Regions from separate parts of the Mus musculus genome. Here regions 2 and 3 are each reported to be linked to region 1. The links are microRNA targets in miRTarBase. Many come from high-throughput screens and were not tested one by one. Region 1 holds a microRNA gene; each other region holds the end of a gene's coding sequence.
The links. The annotated mature microRNA mmu-miR-693-5p reads CAGCCACAUCCGAAAGUUUUC and lies in region 1 at 2,926-2,946, shown strand. An mRNA with a match to its seed (bases 2 to 7 or 8) in the 3' UTR can be bound and repressed. Matches are read on the target gene's strand: a 7mer-m8 pairs with bases 2 to 8, a 7mer-A1 pairs with bases 2 to 7 and ends in A, and an 8mer does both.

Region 2: the mRNA of Msl1 is a reported target of mmu-miR-693-5p. Seed matches in the 3' UTR shown: 7mer-m8 at 2,231-2,237.
Region 3: the mRNA of Glcci1 is a reported target of mmu-miR-693-5p. Seed matches in the 3' UTR shown: 7mer-m8 at 1,612-1,618.

Annotation. Positions count from the first base shown.
Region 1 is chr17:46,228,626-46,232,833 of GRCm38, forward strand. It overlaps Mir693 (microRNA 693), which reads left to right and starts at 2,906; the gene lies at 2,906-2,994. Xpo5 (exportin 5) reads left to right here. Exons shown (of 32, transcript NM_028198.3): 19 at 687-786; 20 at 1,574-1,755. It overlaps Gm22474 (a small nuclear RNA gene), which reads right to left and starts at 4,206; the gene lies at 4,100-4,206.
Region 2 is chr11:98,804,723-98,808,930 of GRCm38, forward strand. Msl1 (male specific lethal 1) reads left to right here. Exons shown (of 9, transcript NM_028722.3): 8 at 125-197; 9 at 620-3,137. The coding sequence ends at 710. All of the region lies in intron 1 of Gm12359 (predicted gene 12359), which reads right to left. Among named protein-coding and RNA genes, the nearest start is that of Casc3, 3.0 kb to the right of the region's middle.
Region 3 is chr6:8,592,445-8,596,652 of GRCm38, forward strand. Glcci1 (glucocorticoid induced transcript 1) reads left to right here. Exons shown (of 8, transcript NM_133236.3): 8 at 463-4,208. The coding sequence ends at 808. It also overlaps the pseudogene Gm16042. Among named protein-coding and RNA genes, the nearest start is that of Gm35621, 29 kb to the right of the region's middle.

The sequences.
Region 1 (4,208 bases):
TGCCCTCTTCCTCTGTGATAATAATGCTTCCTTGGTCTGCTGTTAGCTCTTGTGGAGACTGTCAGTCCTTAAGGGCATGATTCAAAGAAGCTACAGTGGCACCATCCTTTGCCATCAGAGGCATACACCAGTCTCTGAGTTCCCAGTCAACCAAACCCTGCCTCGTAGGAGCAAACAAAATTTGGAGGGCTGGAGAGATGTCTCTGCTGATAAAAGAGCATTTACTGCTCTTGTAGAGGCCCAGGTTCATCTAGTTCCAAGCACCTACATTGTAGCTCACTACCATTTGTAACTCCAGCCCCAAGGAATCCAGAGCCCTCTTTTGGTCCCTGAGGAACTAAGAACTGTGCGCTGTGTGGTGTACAGACATACATAGATGCAAGCACACATTCCCCCCATTTTCTTTTTTTTTAATCATGACGGTAGGGGCTTGGAGGGATGGCTTAGTGGTTAATAAAGCTTACTGCTTTTTCAGACAACCAGAGTTAGTGCCCAACACCAGGCTGACTTGCTCACAGCCGCTTGTAACAAGCTCCAGGGGACCCATGGTCTCTTTTGGCCTCTGAGGTCACCTGTACTCATATACATACCCCACACAGACATGCACATACACTTAGCTGAAAAGAAAGTAAATCTCTGTCTAAACAAAGATCATGATAGAACTTTTCTTCCTCCCCTCCCTTCAGAGCGCTGTCAGATATTGACTCCTTCATTGCCTATGTGGGTGCTGATCTGAAAAGCTGTGACCCAGCTGTGGAGGATCCATGTGGCTTGAACCGTGCACGAGTAAGACTCTCCTGGGAATGGGAAGTTTCACTGGCCACGGGCAGGAGTTAGGGTGTTTCATTGATCAAGTTTCTCAGATTTGTTTTGTCTGTACTGCTGAGAGACCCAAGAGTCTCTCCTGCCCTAAGCTTCTCCTTTCTTTTCTTCTTTAGTCTTGAATTCTTGAGTTAGTTCTCACAACAGAGCAGATGGTCTTTTCTATGAAGTCATTATTTTGGCTTTAAGGATCCCTAAGTAGCTCGGAAGACTGGAGGTGTAATGAGGAAGTAGGTCAGACTTGGTGGCAGGGTGAGTCCCCCCTGCTATTGCTCGCTGGCATGTGAAGTCCTAGGTGATGGCCAAATCTTGAGACCCTGAGGCCTTCCAGTGCACCGGTGCTCAGATAAGCCACTACGGTGAAAGACACATGACCAGCCTGGCATGAGGGGTTGGGGGTTAGGATGCAGGCTGTGGAGTCCTGGATGGAGGGTCAGGTAAAAAAAAAAATGGCAGTTTAAATACTTGGTGGTGGAGCTCATCCAAACCACCCCTACCCCAGGGTCATTAAACCCCTGGAAAGACATGCTAATGAGAAGGGAGCTTCCAGAGCTTCCTCCCACGGGTCCTGAGAAACGGCAGTGAGAAGACCTCCCTTGGACTGGACCATAAGGACAAGGACTGAGGTCTCGCTGGGGTGGGAGACACAGGCTTCTTCCCCGTCTCTGTCGGTGACACTGCGCTGTCCCCCTGCATGTGTGTCTCAGTGCTCTCCCCTTATCCCGGCTGTGTTTTTCCTTCTTCTCTCTAGATGAGCTTTTGTGTGTACAGCATCCTGGGGGTTATGAGACGCACTAGCTGGCCTTCCGACCTAGAAGAAGCCAAAGCTGGGGGCTTTGTGGTGGGCTACACACCCAGTGGAAATCCCATCTTCCGTAACCCCTGCACAGAGCAGATCCTCAGACTTCTCGACAATTTGCTTGCCCTTGTAAGGTGAGTCAGAGATAGTCTTTGTCCTTATTTTAGCCTTAAGAATCTCAAAAGTTTCTAATCTTCTCTTTCTCATTGCACTGGTGGTGTGGGATTAGGTCCTGACTCTTTTGAGAGGGAGGCTCATCTTTCTAAGGACAGTTGGCCTCCCTGTGTGAGGTGTGCTCTCTCCATAGGCATAACAGTGTTGTAGTATCCTGTTTTAGTTTTCAAGACAGGGCCTCTCTGTAACCTTGACTATCGTGGAACTCACTCTGTAGACCAGGCTGGCCTCAAACTCAAGATCGGCCTGCCTCTGCCTCCCCAGTGCTGGGATTAAAGGTGTGCGCAGTTTTTTATTGTTGGTTTGCTGGAGACTGACATGGGCCTTGTGCATCCGAGGCCACAGTGTACCACTGAGGTACATCCCAGCCCTCTCTTATTTCCTTACAGCTTATACCTACTTTTAAGGTTATTTTGTCTAAATTTTTAGTAGGAAGGAAACGGCTTGTTGGGAGCGGGACAGTTGGTTTCTGTAGTAGTGTTTCTCCAGATGGTGTCCATGTGCACTAGTAGAATTTCTCACCAATGACTGAACTCATGTAGGCCAAGCATCCGATGGCTCAGCAAGCCAGAGGAGAGCAGGATGTCTGTCACCTCAGTTTGTGCAGCCTTCACTGTGAGACCTGTGGCATCAGCAGCTACCTGAGCCCTTGCTCAAAAAGCAGAATTAGGGACGCACTGCAGACTGTAAATGTTAACAAGCTACCTGGGAGTTTCATGTACACATGGAAGAGTCAGCAGCGTCACCCTAGGTCACAGGAACTGACCTGCTCACATGAGAGGTGCTCAGGCTAGGCTTGTTGATACTTTTAAACTATAGAAGTGAAACATTTAAAAAACGTGCAGTCCTTGGTCTCTGACTTCTATTGCTCAACATCATGGTGTGGGAGCCATGAGTTATGTGTAGCTGGGTCTGTTTCTTCTTCCCGTCTATGTGGTGTCCTGCTATGTGGCTGTGCTGTTTCTTATTGATCCTGGTGGGCTTTTGGACAGAATTTTGATAACACGCATACAGTAAATTTAATAATAAGCTACTCTCAGGATCTTGAAAGTGTACTTGTAAGATATTTGCATATTCTTGTTGGTTATACACGGGAGGGTAGAAATCCTGAGTTGTAGGCATGCTCATTACAGCCACATCCGAAAGTTTTCCTGGCTAGGGCAGCTTTCAGATGTGGCTGTAATGAGCATGCTCCCAGCAACGGCATACAGGAATGATGGAAAGTTTTTGGTTCTTTCTTTTTGTTGCTTTTGAAGCAGTGTACCGCCAGCCCTTGGCGAGATTGGGGGCGGGGGTGCACTGACAAGGGGTGCATGCAGAAGCCAGAGACGGATGTCAGGGTATCTCCATTGTTAATTCTCTGCCTTATTATTTGAGACACAGTCTTCGACTTGAACCTACACCTGGAAGTTTGGCGAGACTGGCTGACCAGAGAATCCTTGATTGTGTCTATTTCTGTACACTCAGCACTGCTGGCATAGCAAGCATTTTGCTCTCTAAGCCATCTCCCCTTTTCTGTTTTTAATTATGTTTTGGGCTAGTAGATTTTATTCTTGGTAATCCAGGCTGGTTTTTTGTTTGTTTGTTTGGTTGGTTTTTTGGGTTTTTTTGTTTTTGGTTTTTTTTGCATGTTTACAGACATTTATTACTTTGTGTTATTGTCACAGAGGTCAATTTATTCTGTTTTTTTCCCCCCACTTTTTTTTATTAGATATTTTCTTCATTTACACTTCAAATGCTATCCCAAAAGTCCTCTATACCCTCCCCCCTCCCTGCTCCCCTACCCACTTACTCCCACTTCTTGGCCTTGGCGTTCCCCTGTACTGGGGCATGTAAAGTTTGCTAGACCAAGGGGCCTCTCTTCTCAATGATAGCAGACTAGGCCATCTTCTGCTACATATGCAGCTAAAGACATGAGCTCTGGGGGTACTGATTAGTTCATATTTTTGTCCCACCTATAAGGTTGCAGACCCCTTCAGCTCTTGAGAACTTTCTCTAGCTCCTATATTGGGAGCCCTGTGTTCCATCCTATAGATGACTGTGAACATCCACTTCTGTATTTGCCAGGCACTGGCCTAGCCTCACAGGAGACAGCTATATCAGAATCTTTTCAGCAAAATCTTGCTGGCATATGCAGTAGTGTCTGCGTTTGGTGGCTGATTATGGGGTAGACTCCTGGGTGGGGCAGTCTCTGGATGGTCCATCCTTTTGTCTTAGCTCCAAACTTTGTCTCTGCAACTCCTTCCATGGATATTTTATTCCGTATTCTAGGGAGGAATGAAGTATCCACACGTTGGTCTTCCTAAAAATATGGAACGCTTCACGAATTTGTGTGTCATCCTTGCACAGGGGCCATGCTAATCTTCTCTGTATTGTTCCAATTTTAGTATATGTGCTGCCGAAGTGAGCACCC
Region 2 (4,208 bases), not on the chromosome of region 1:
TCTCCACAGCACAGCTGCTTGTGACGGGTGAGCTGTGCTGTGGAGGTGGTGGTGGTGGCAGCGGTGGCGGTTGGATATTTCTCACCTCTTTGCTAACAAGGCTCCATGTGATTTTCTTCCATAGTTGAAAGTTTGCTGATTACCCCCTTCTTGCCTGTTGTAGCATTTGGACGGCCATTGCCAAAATTAGCTCCACAGTAAGTAAAATAGATTGTTCCTCTCTTTTCAGGTAGTTTGTACCTCCTTTTCAGGCTCCATGGAAGCCTAGATAGAATGGGGACACATGTGACTTAGGGCTAGCCATGATTGTCTGATGACAAGCTAGAAGCCAGGCGTCAGATCTCATTAGGAATGCTCTTTTTGGTTTTTCGAGACAGGGTTTCTCTGTGTAGCCCTGGCTGTCCTGGAACTCACTTTGTAGACCAGGCTGGCCTCGAACTCAGAAATCAGCCTGCCTCTGCCTCTCGAGTGCTGGGATTAAAGGCGTGCGCCACCACGCCCGGCTTTAGGAATGCTCTTTAATCTGAGGTAGATGACATTGCCATTTGGATGGTGACTGTGTCAGCTGACTACTGCCTTGGAAGTAGCCTTGTCACTTTGCTGTCTTTCTTTTTGCCAGGAACTTTGAACTACCCTGGTTGGATGAGCGAAGCCGTTGCAGGTTGGAGATCCAGAAGAAGCACACACCTCACCGGACCTGTAGGAAGTAGCTGTGCTGGCGGTAGCCTGTCTTCAGATAGTTGTAGCATGCTGTTCCGAGAGAATAGCAGAGACCTGTATGTGTGACCTGTGCCCTCATGTCTGTTATCATTCACTGGTAATGCCTTTCCATCCTCCCTTTATATTAGTTTTGTTTTCTTTACTCTGATTTCACAAAACAAACAGAAGAAAGCTCTTGCGTTGGCTGATTGTGAATTAGGGGTTACTGGAGCGGCTTTTCCCATTTTGGGGAGATGAGCTTGAGCTCGTCCTATAGGGGGAGACTTGGGGGTCCCAGGGGCCACTTGTAACTCACCTGCCTGCCTAACGGGGTAAAGGGCTCTTCATTAGCGTGTCTAAGATGGAGCAACCCTTCCTGTAGGAGCTGTGCCTGCCCTGACCCCGTGCCTCCCTGGTGCGCCTTCTGAATAGTGTGGGTGTAGTAGGTTTCACCGTGAACTTTAGGGCCCGAGGAATAGCATGAAGTAATGAAGCAAGACATTCCTCAGAGGGGGAAACTGCAGAGTTTTACCTGAAAGTTTGTTCTCTTTAAACTGCTCTGTGACAGTGGCATGTGGGAGGAGACGTGCAGCTGGTTCACTTTCTTAGTTGATGGGTAACTGAAGTTCCTTCCCACCCCCAACAAAGAAGATGTTTAGAAAAGAGATTGGGAGTGTAAGTTTCCAACTAGTTAACAGTGCTAAACCGATAGAGCTCTCATTTGGGGATGGCATGCCAGAGTCTGTAGAGATGTCTCTGTCATGTCACTTTTCAAGGATTCCTTAGTGGGGCTTGATCCTATTAGCCAAACTTTTGGTGGTGAGGTAGAGATTTGGGGTGGGGCCGGGGGTAGGGTATGGAAGGATATGCTTCCTCTGCCTGGCAGATGTCTACAGCTTGAAACAAACAGTTGTACCTAATGAACTTTATTCGTTTAGTGAAAATAGATTTATACACGAACCATCTTGTTTCCCATCTCCTGCCCTTGTTTTGTTACTGAAAAGATAAAAAAGAAAAAAAAAAAAAAAAAAGAAAAAAGAAAAAAAAATCAGGACAGCACTCCCAGGCCACTTTGGTCTCAGTGTAAGATCCCTGTTAACTATCTGGAAGAGAAATGGAGCCGAGGCCTGTGGGCTTCTGGATAGGAGTTGCCTTTCACTAGCCTTCAGGACTATTGTATAAAAACAAGTTGGGGTCTAATCTCTAGAAGGGTAGGGCTCTTATCCTTGAAGAGAACATGGCCCCAAATTATTAGCACTTTTAGAGGAGAAGCCAAGGTATGTAGGGTGTGTGGTTGGCCCATCTGCTGAGCATGCGAGAATGGCATTGCCACTGTGGGAAGAGACGTTCTCAGGGGCCTCCCACTGCTAAAGCTTTTTTGAGACGTTATCTTGCTCCCTGGGTTTGACTTTGAAAGGAATTATTCCAGCAGTCCATGTAGTGTTCTTGGATGATCTTGCTGCTCTTAATTCTCCTTTGTATGTGTGTGTGTGTGTGTGTGTGTGTGTGTGTGTGTGTGTGTGTGTGTGTGTGTGGCTCTGGGTTTTCACTTGTAACTCCATCTGCTTAGGAGCGTGGTCTCTCTGTGACAGAAGCTGCCATAAACCACCTCAGCGAGGATGTAGAGAGAAAGGGGACTTCTCCGCTAGGGGCTCTCATCTCACACCTTAGGGATGGGGATATAGCTAGAAAGATTGGGCCAGATTGTTGTTGTTGTTGTTGTTGTTGTTGTTTTAATGAGGCCAACTGTTTAGTGCTCCTACTCTGACCTGTGTTGTTTCTTTATAACATGCTCCTCAAAAATAATAACCTCAATCAGTTGTCTCTTTACTTCGTTTCTTGATCCCTCTCAGTTTCTTCTTGACAACGAGATTTGTCAGATTCCTAATTTGGGTATGGGTTAACAGATTTAACCACCAGGTTTCTGCCCTACACAGAGGAGTCCTCAGATCCTGTTTTTGCTAGACTGAGAGGAATCCATGAGGTGCTATCTGGCAGGACTGAAGTGGATTCTATTGCTTTGGTTCTCCTTTCCCTGAGGACCTACTATTTGGTTATGTCCTCTCCTAGATGTCCTTTGGTTTGGGGATGCTGAGGAGGCTGGGGTGAGAGCACAGTGAGGAGCGTGGGGAGTCACCTGCTTCCCCTCCGTGGGGTACAACACTGTGAGATTCAGTCTTCAGCAGAAAGAGAGGCCCTGCACTTCTCTGAAAACATAGTTCCTTATTCTTTCTTTAACAAAGTTTAAGCTAGTGTTAATAAATTAAAAGAGAAATTGCTTGTCTCTCCACCTCAGCTTTATTTTATGCCCGTTTCATATCGTTGTCTGTGCTGTAATTCATACTTTTGATACCATTTCTGATGTGTAAAGTCGGCTGTCTTGTAAATATCTTATAAAGAGTTCAATTGTAAATAAACTATTGTGGCCGTTAACTTTTGAACTTTTGCCTCATTTTATTAGATTTGTTGGGAAACATTATATCTGCTTGTATATATGAAAGAATGGGAAAGAATCTTCATATTAACCCAAGTGAAATAGAGAAATACATCACCGCCCTTCTAATCAGGGGCTCATCCATTGTGTCAGACTCTAGCGTGTGTCTGTATGTTCCTTTGTCCTGAGCCCTTCCTTACACATAAATGGCAAATTACAAAGCTTGTAGGCAAGACTTTATAGGTCACCTACTCAGTGTTTGATACATGATTTTCCCTGGATATCAGTCCAGATAAATGAAGTCCAGATCCGCTTGACCACAGTGTCTTCCTACACACATCTTCTGTATGCTTGAAAACCCTCATTGTAACTTGAAAGCACTGGCTCTTGTTTTGTGACTACAATGATATAGAAAGATCAATCTCTTAGCTCCTTACTTCTCTAATAAGACTCATGTGGGACCCCAGACCATCTGTCTATTCATGCTAAACATTGACCGTTTCTCACAACTGTTTCTCAGGAGGACTGCTATCCCAAGCACCCACACAGCCAGGAGAGCCCCAGGTTCAAGATCAGCCTAGCTTCCATGAGACCCTGTCTCAAAAAACAAAAGAAAGTAGGATCCAGAGCAGGATTACAGGTATTGTCCCCTCATAGCCTGCATCTGGGGAGGCTGAAGCTGGTGGGTCCCGAGTGATGAAAAGGCTAGCTTGAGGTCATAGATTTTCTTAAAAAAAAAAAAAAAAAAGAAAAAAGAAAAAAAACATCCCAAGCTGGATTCCGACCAAACAACTAAAGGACAAAGTGGCATGCTATCCTTGTCCTTATTTAGACACTCAACTTGGCAGTCTTGCTGCACCATTTTAGATTGTGATGGATAAGATTCTTATGCCTTTCACACTTATTAAATCATGCATCCTCCATTTTGAGTTCAGGCAGTTGTTTCTGGAGCTGAACTCCATGATACATTTGGCCACCTGTCACCAGTTGAATCAGTCCCTGCAGACAGTCATGATTCCTTGGAGTCTCATACTGTTTATAGATCTGGTAAGCAGTGGGGACCTTTAGCTATTTA
Region 3 (4,208 bases), not on the chromosome of region 1:
CTATTCTTTTGGCTGATTGAGAGACCACAGAAAAAAACAGTTTTTCCCCATCTGTACTGATAGATATATATCTAAAGATGCAGAAAAAGTTGAAAGGGCTTAAAATCAAATAAATGATAAATAACATTTCTATTTATACTTCTTATTAGTGATGTTCATCCTAAATGTGTATAATACCTCAAGTACAGTGTAGAATTTCTTTTATATTCCTCAATGATTGGAAGCAAACCAAAGATCTCTAAAAATTTGCCTGGCCCTTCTGAAAATCGTTTTTTCCTTAAGTGTCATTTCAGTGCGCTATATGTGATAATCTCCCAGCTGACCTGTGCTATGGAAGATGTCTTTCCTCTGTGTGCACATACCTCACCCTGTCATTCACACTGTAGCTGTTTTATAAAACTCCAAGTTATTCACAGAGTACATTATAGTGATCAGAAAACTAATTCTGTTTTATGCTTTTAGGTCTCGTCAGCCTATCTCGGCCCCTCTCTTTTCATGTCCTGACAAAAACAAGGTTAATTTCATCCCAACCGGATCAGCTTTCTGTCCTGTAAAACTTCTAGGCCCTCTCTTACCTGCCTCTGACCTGATGCTCAAGAACTCCCCTAATTCTGGCCAGAGCTCGGCTCTGGCAACACTGACCGTAGAGCAGCTTTCCTCCCGGGTTTCCTTCACATCTCTCTCTGATGACACCAGCACAGCCGACTCCCTGGAGCCCTCTGCCCAGCAGCCATCTCAGCAGCAGCAGCTCCTACAGGACTTGCAGGTGGAGGAACACGTCTCCACTCAGAACTATGTGATGATCTAAAGCAGAGGGGGAGCTGGTCTCCACCCATGGTCCATGGATTGGGAATGAGATCTCAGACATCTATCTGCATGGAGTGACAAACTTTCCCAACATCACCAACAGCAAAGTACTTAGCATCACAAAATAGCTATTAACACTGATCTTGGCAGGGACCGACTTATATTCAGCAGTTTTTGTGGAAAGCAGTAATGCTTGCAAAAATGTGTGTGTCATTCAGCATTTAATGGAGACTATGCATTTCATAGTATGTCTGACAGATTAGTACTGTGTCCTGTGTTTTGTTCCAACATTTTCAGTATGAATAAGCTCTATTTCAAAAAGTTGCCTGTCTAAGTAGAAAATGTCTTGCTGTGTTTTGTCCTATGGAAAATACTGTACTTCAGGATTATGTTTACAATTGATCCAGGTGTTTGTTTCTAACTTCTATAATACATACAATGCAAAAAAAAAAAAAAAATGGCCACAACAGTTGCACAGTGCCCACCCTATGGCCTAGCTTCAGGTACTTCAGTTGAAGTCTAAACTCAGGTAACTTGGAATGTATGTCATATTGGGATATTAAATATTTCACAGCTACAAAGCTAAAGAGGGAACATCACTCTTTTGCCTTTCCTTGTTTTATGCATTTCCTTTTCTTCATTCCATTCCACACTAGAATAAGAAGTGCATTGATCCCTAGGAGATGCTAATCCTGGGTATAGGGAACATGAGGAGAACCAGCAAATTTGTGGTGTGTGACATCACTTTTGTCATGTGGTTACCAGTAGAACAACTGTTGCATTCACTGTTTCAACATGTGTAAATGTGGCTTTTTTTTTTAAAAAAAAAGAAAAAGAAAAAAGAAAAAACAAGTTGTGTTGCTCAGTGACTGACTGTTACAGTGTTGCAAATAAAGCCTCAGTAGTAGCCTACATAAACATTCCCCATTGCGTGTGACGAAATTTAAATGCAGGGATGGCTGGAGTTCATTTCAAAGCAAGTGGCGTTTTGCAGAAATAAATAAGGATTTTTCTTTATATTGGCCATTGGGGTCATAATTGCTACTATTTTTATCTAAAGACATATTTATGTTTAGCTTCATTTTAGGAAATTGTAATTTTCTGGTTACAAAGTGAAACATTTTGGTTACTGTTTTCCTCAAGTATTTGGTAAATGAGTTGTATTCATGTAGAGAGAATGTGTATGTCTCAGAACCAGTGCAGCATAAGCAAGCAGATTTCTTGTTGACTTTCGAGAGCAATAGCTTAAAGCTGTCTCATTTAAGCCTCAGATAACACTATCATGAATAATTTTGTTAAGACGTAGAACGCATGGAGTGGAGCAGAACCCCGAGTAAATAGCCTTGAACTTGCAGACTTGACAGAAGTTCTCCACAAAGTGCATAGAAGAGAGCCATAGAGATTCCTGTTGCCACCTGGAGAGCCCGACTTCAGACTTTATTTTTTTGCAGCACAGCCTGTGCAAAAGTAAAGGGACGCTTTTGTATTGGTGTTCCGTTGCTCTCAGTTCAGTTAGAGCCTAGAGTTCTCCCATCTCCACCTAACGTGTGTGGCACAATGTTTGGTTTGGTTGGTTTTTAGAGTCGGGAACCGCTGCCTACAGTTACTCTTCAGTTTTCCATAGGTCATACCTGCGGTTTCCTTTGACTCCTCTAAGGAGTCAACGAGTAGAAGGATGAGCTGATAAAGTGATGATACCGTGTTAATTTTTACAAAATGCTGTGCGTGAGTGTGCATACACGTGCACATGGATGTGTGGATGTGTGTATTCTGTGTGCTATTTTGTCACCTTGATGTCTCCTTTCCACCAAAGTTTGCAGTAATACTCTCTTCTGAAGGTACGCAGTCAGTGTTATAGAGACTGTCATGGAGAAGAGGACTCAGTTGACTTTTGCCATTTTCATAGGGGAACCTTTTAAAACAATCTTTTCAGCAGCAGACACCTTTAACCCTAATAATCTCAGGCCTTGATGAAAATACTATATTTTGTAGATTATGGTTAAAGGAAGAAAATTGCTAGTTCCGTAAGATAAATATGAGCTCCATTTAACTTCTTTTTTTTAAGCCTCTAACAATTTTATTGTAAGTAAACAAAATTATGTGTACTTGTTTTATTCGGCACGTGAAAACAGATATTTACAGATATAAAAAACTCGTATTGACAGACGTTTAAATGGACAGAGTCAAGTTGATAGAAGCATGACACAAATTTGGTAAAGCAAATCTCAGATACTGACACTGAAGCAAGTGCTCTCAGATCCATCAAACAGACCACAGCCCTCCCTTGCCAAAACTCCAATCAATTCTATCTTAGTATCTAAGATAGACATCCTGTTTGTTTTTCATAAGTCAATCTTGGCACTTTTATGAACAATTAGTTCCTCTATTCACAAAAGGCATCATAATTATTTTTACTTTCTTAAAGTTTGAGGGTTTTTTGGTTTTTGTTTTAAGTAGCCAAGATCTACAGTTGATCTTCTAAAAGGTCACGATCTTAGTAAGTTCTTTTTAGTTACAGGCAAAGGACCCACTTTACAGTTGGCTTTTAGGATCTTGCCATTCAAACAGTCTTTGTTGTTATGGTAAGCACACAGACACTTTGTACAATATTCAAATTGACAGCTTTCCCGTTTGCAGACTGCTCGCTCTAAATAGTGGTCATATTTTGCAGGGAAATTATAGCAAGCACAGGCTTTGAGGCTTCCCTTGTTCTTCAATGTCTGCCACCTCCACGAACTTGTTGTGCCAGCTGTAGGTAGAACCTTTCTGACCACGCTGACTGGAGGACTTGACCTGAACATCTTTTTTTGGGAGGTGCCCAGGTCGACGATGACTTTGAACAGAAGTTAGTGCAGGTCTGCCCACAACATGTCCTCTCGTTGCAGCATGTAGTGACAACTTACTGCTTTCAATGACTCTGCATGGTTTTGCTGTAGAGCTGGACCGCTCCCTTATTGTTTTCCAGTATCTTCTTCCAAATTCTGCTCACTTTAGACAGGTTTATTAAGTCCGTGCCCCGAGCTTCATCACAATGTTAGCCAACAGGTGCACGAATCCCCTCCGGGAGAGCTCAGCCAGGAGATCTAGGTGTTCCAGGCCCATTTTCTTGCCAATTATACTTTGCAGTCTAAAGTTGCCGCTGGTGATAACTTCCTTCAGCATTTCTCGATCCACTTTAGGGTTTCGCTTGCCATTCTTTTTTAGTGTTGAGCAAACCACTCTTTGACAATGCAGGACAGGCAGCAGGTTTTGTTGGGATGCTGGTCCAGGCTCTGTGATGGCAGCAGGCGGGCCTGGGGACTGTTTCTGAAATTCTCCAGGATAAGGATGCCGTCGTCACGGTCACTTTGTGTAAAAGATGAGTAGCCACTGTCCTCATACAGTCTACTGGCCTCTAGCTC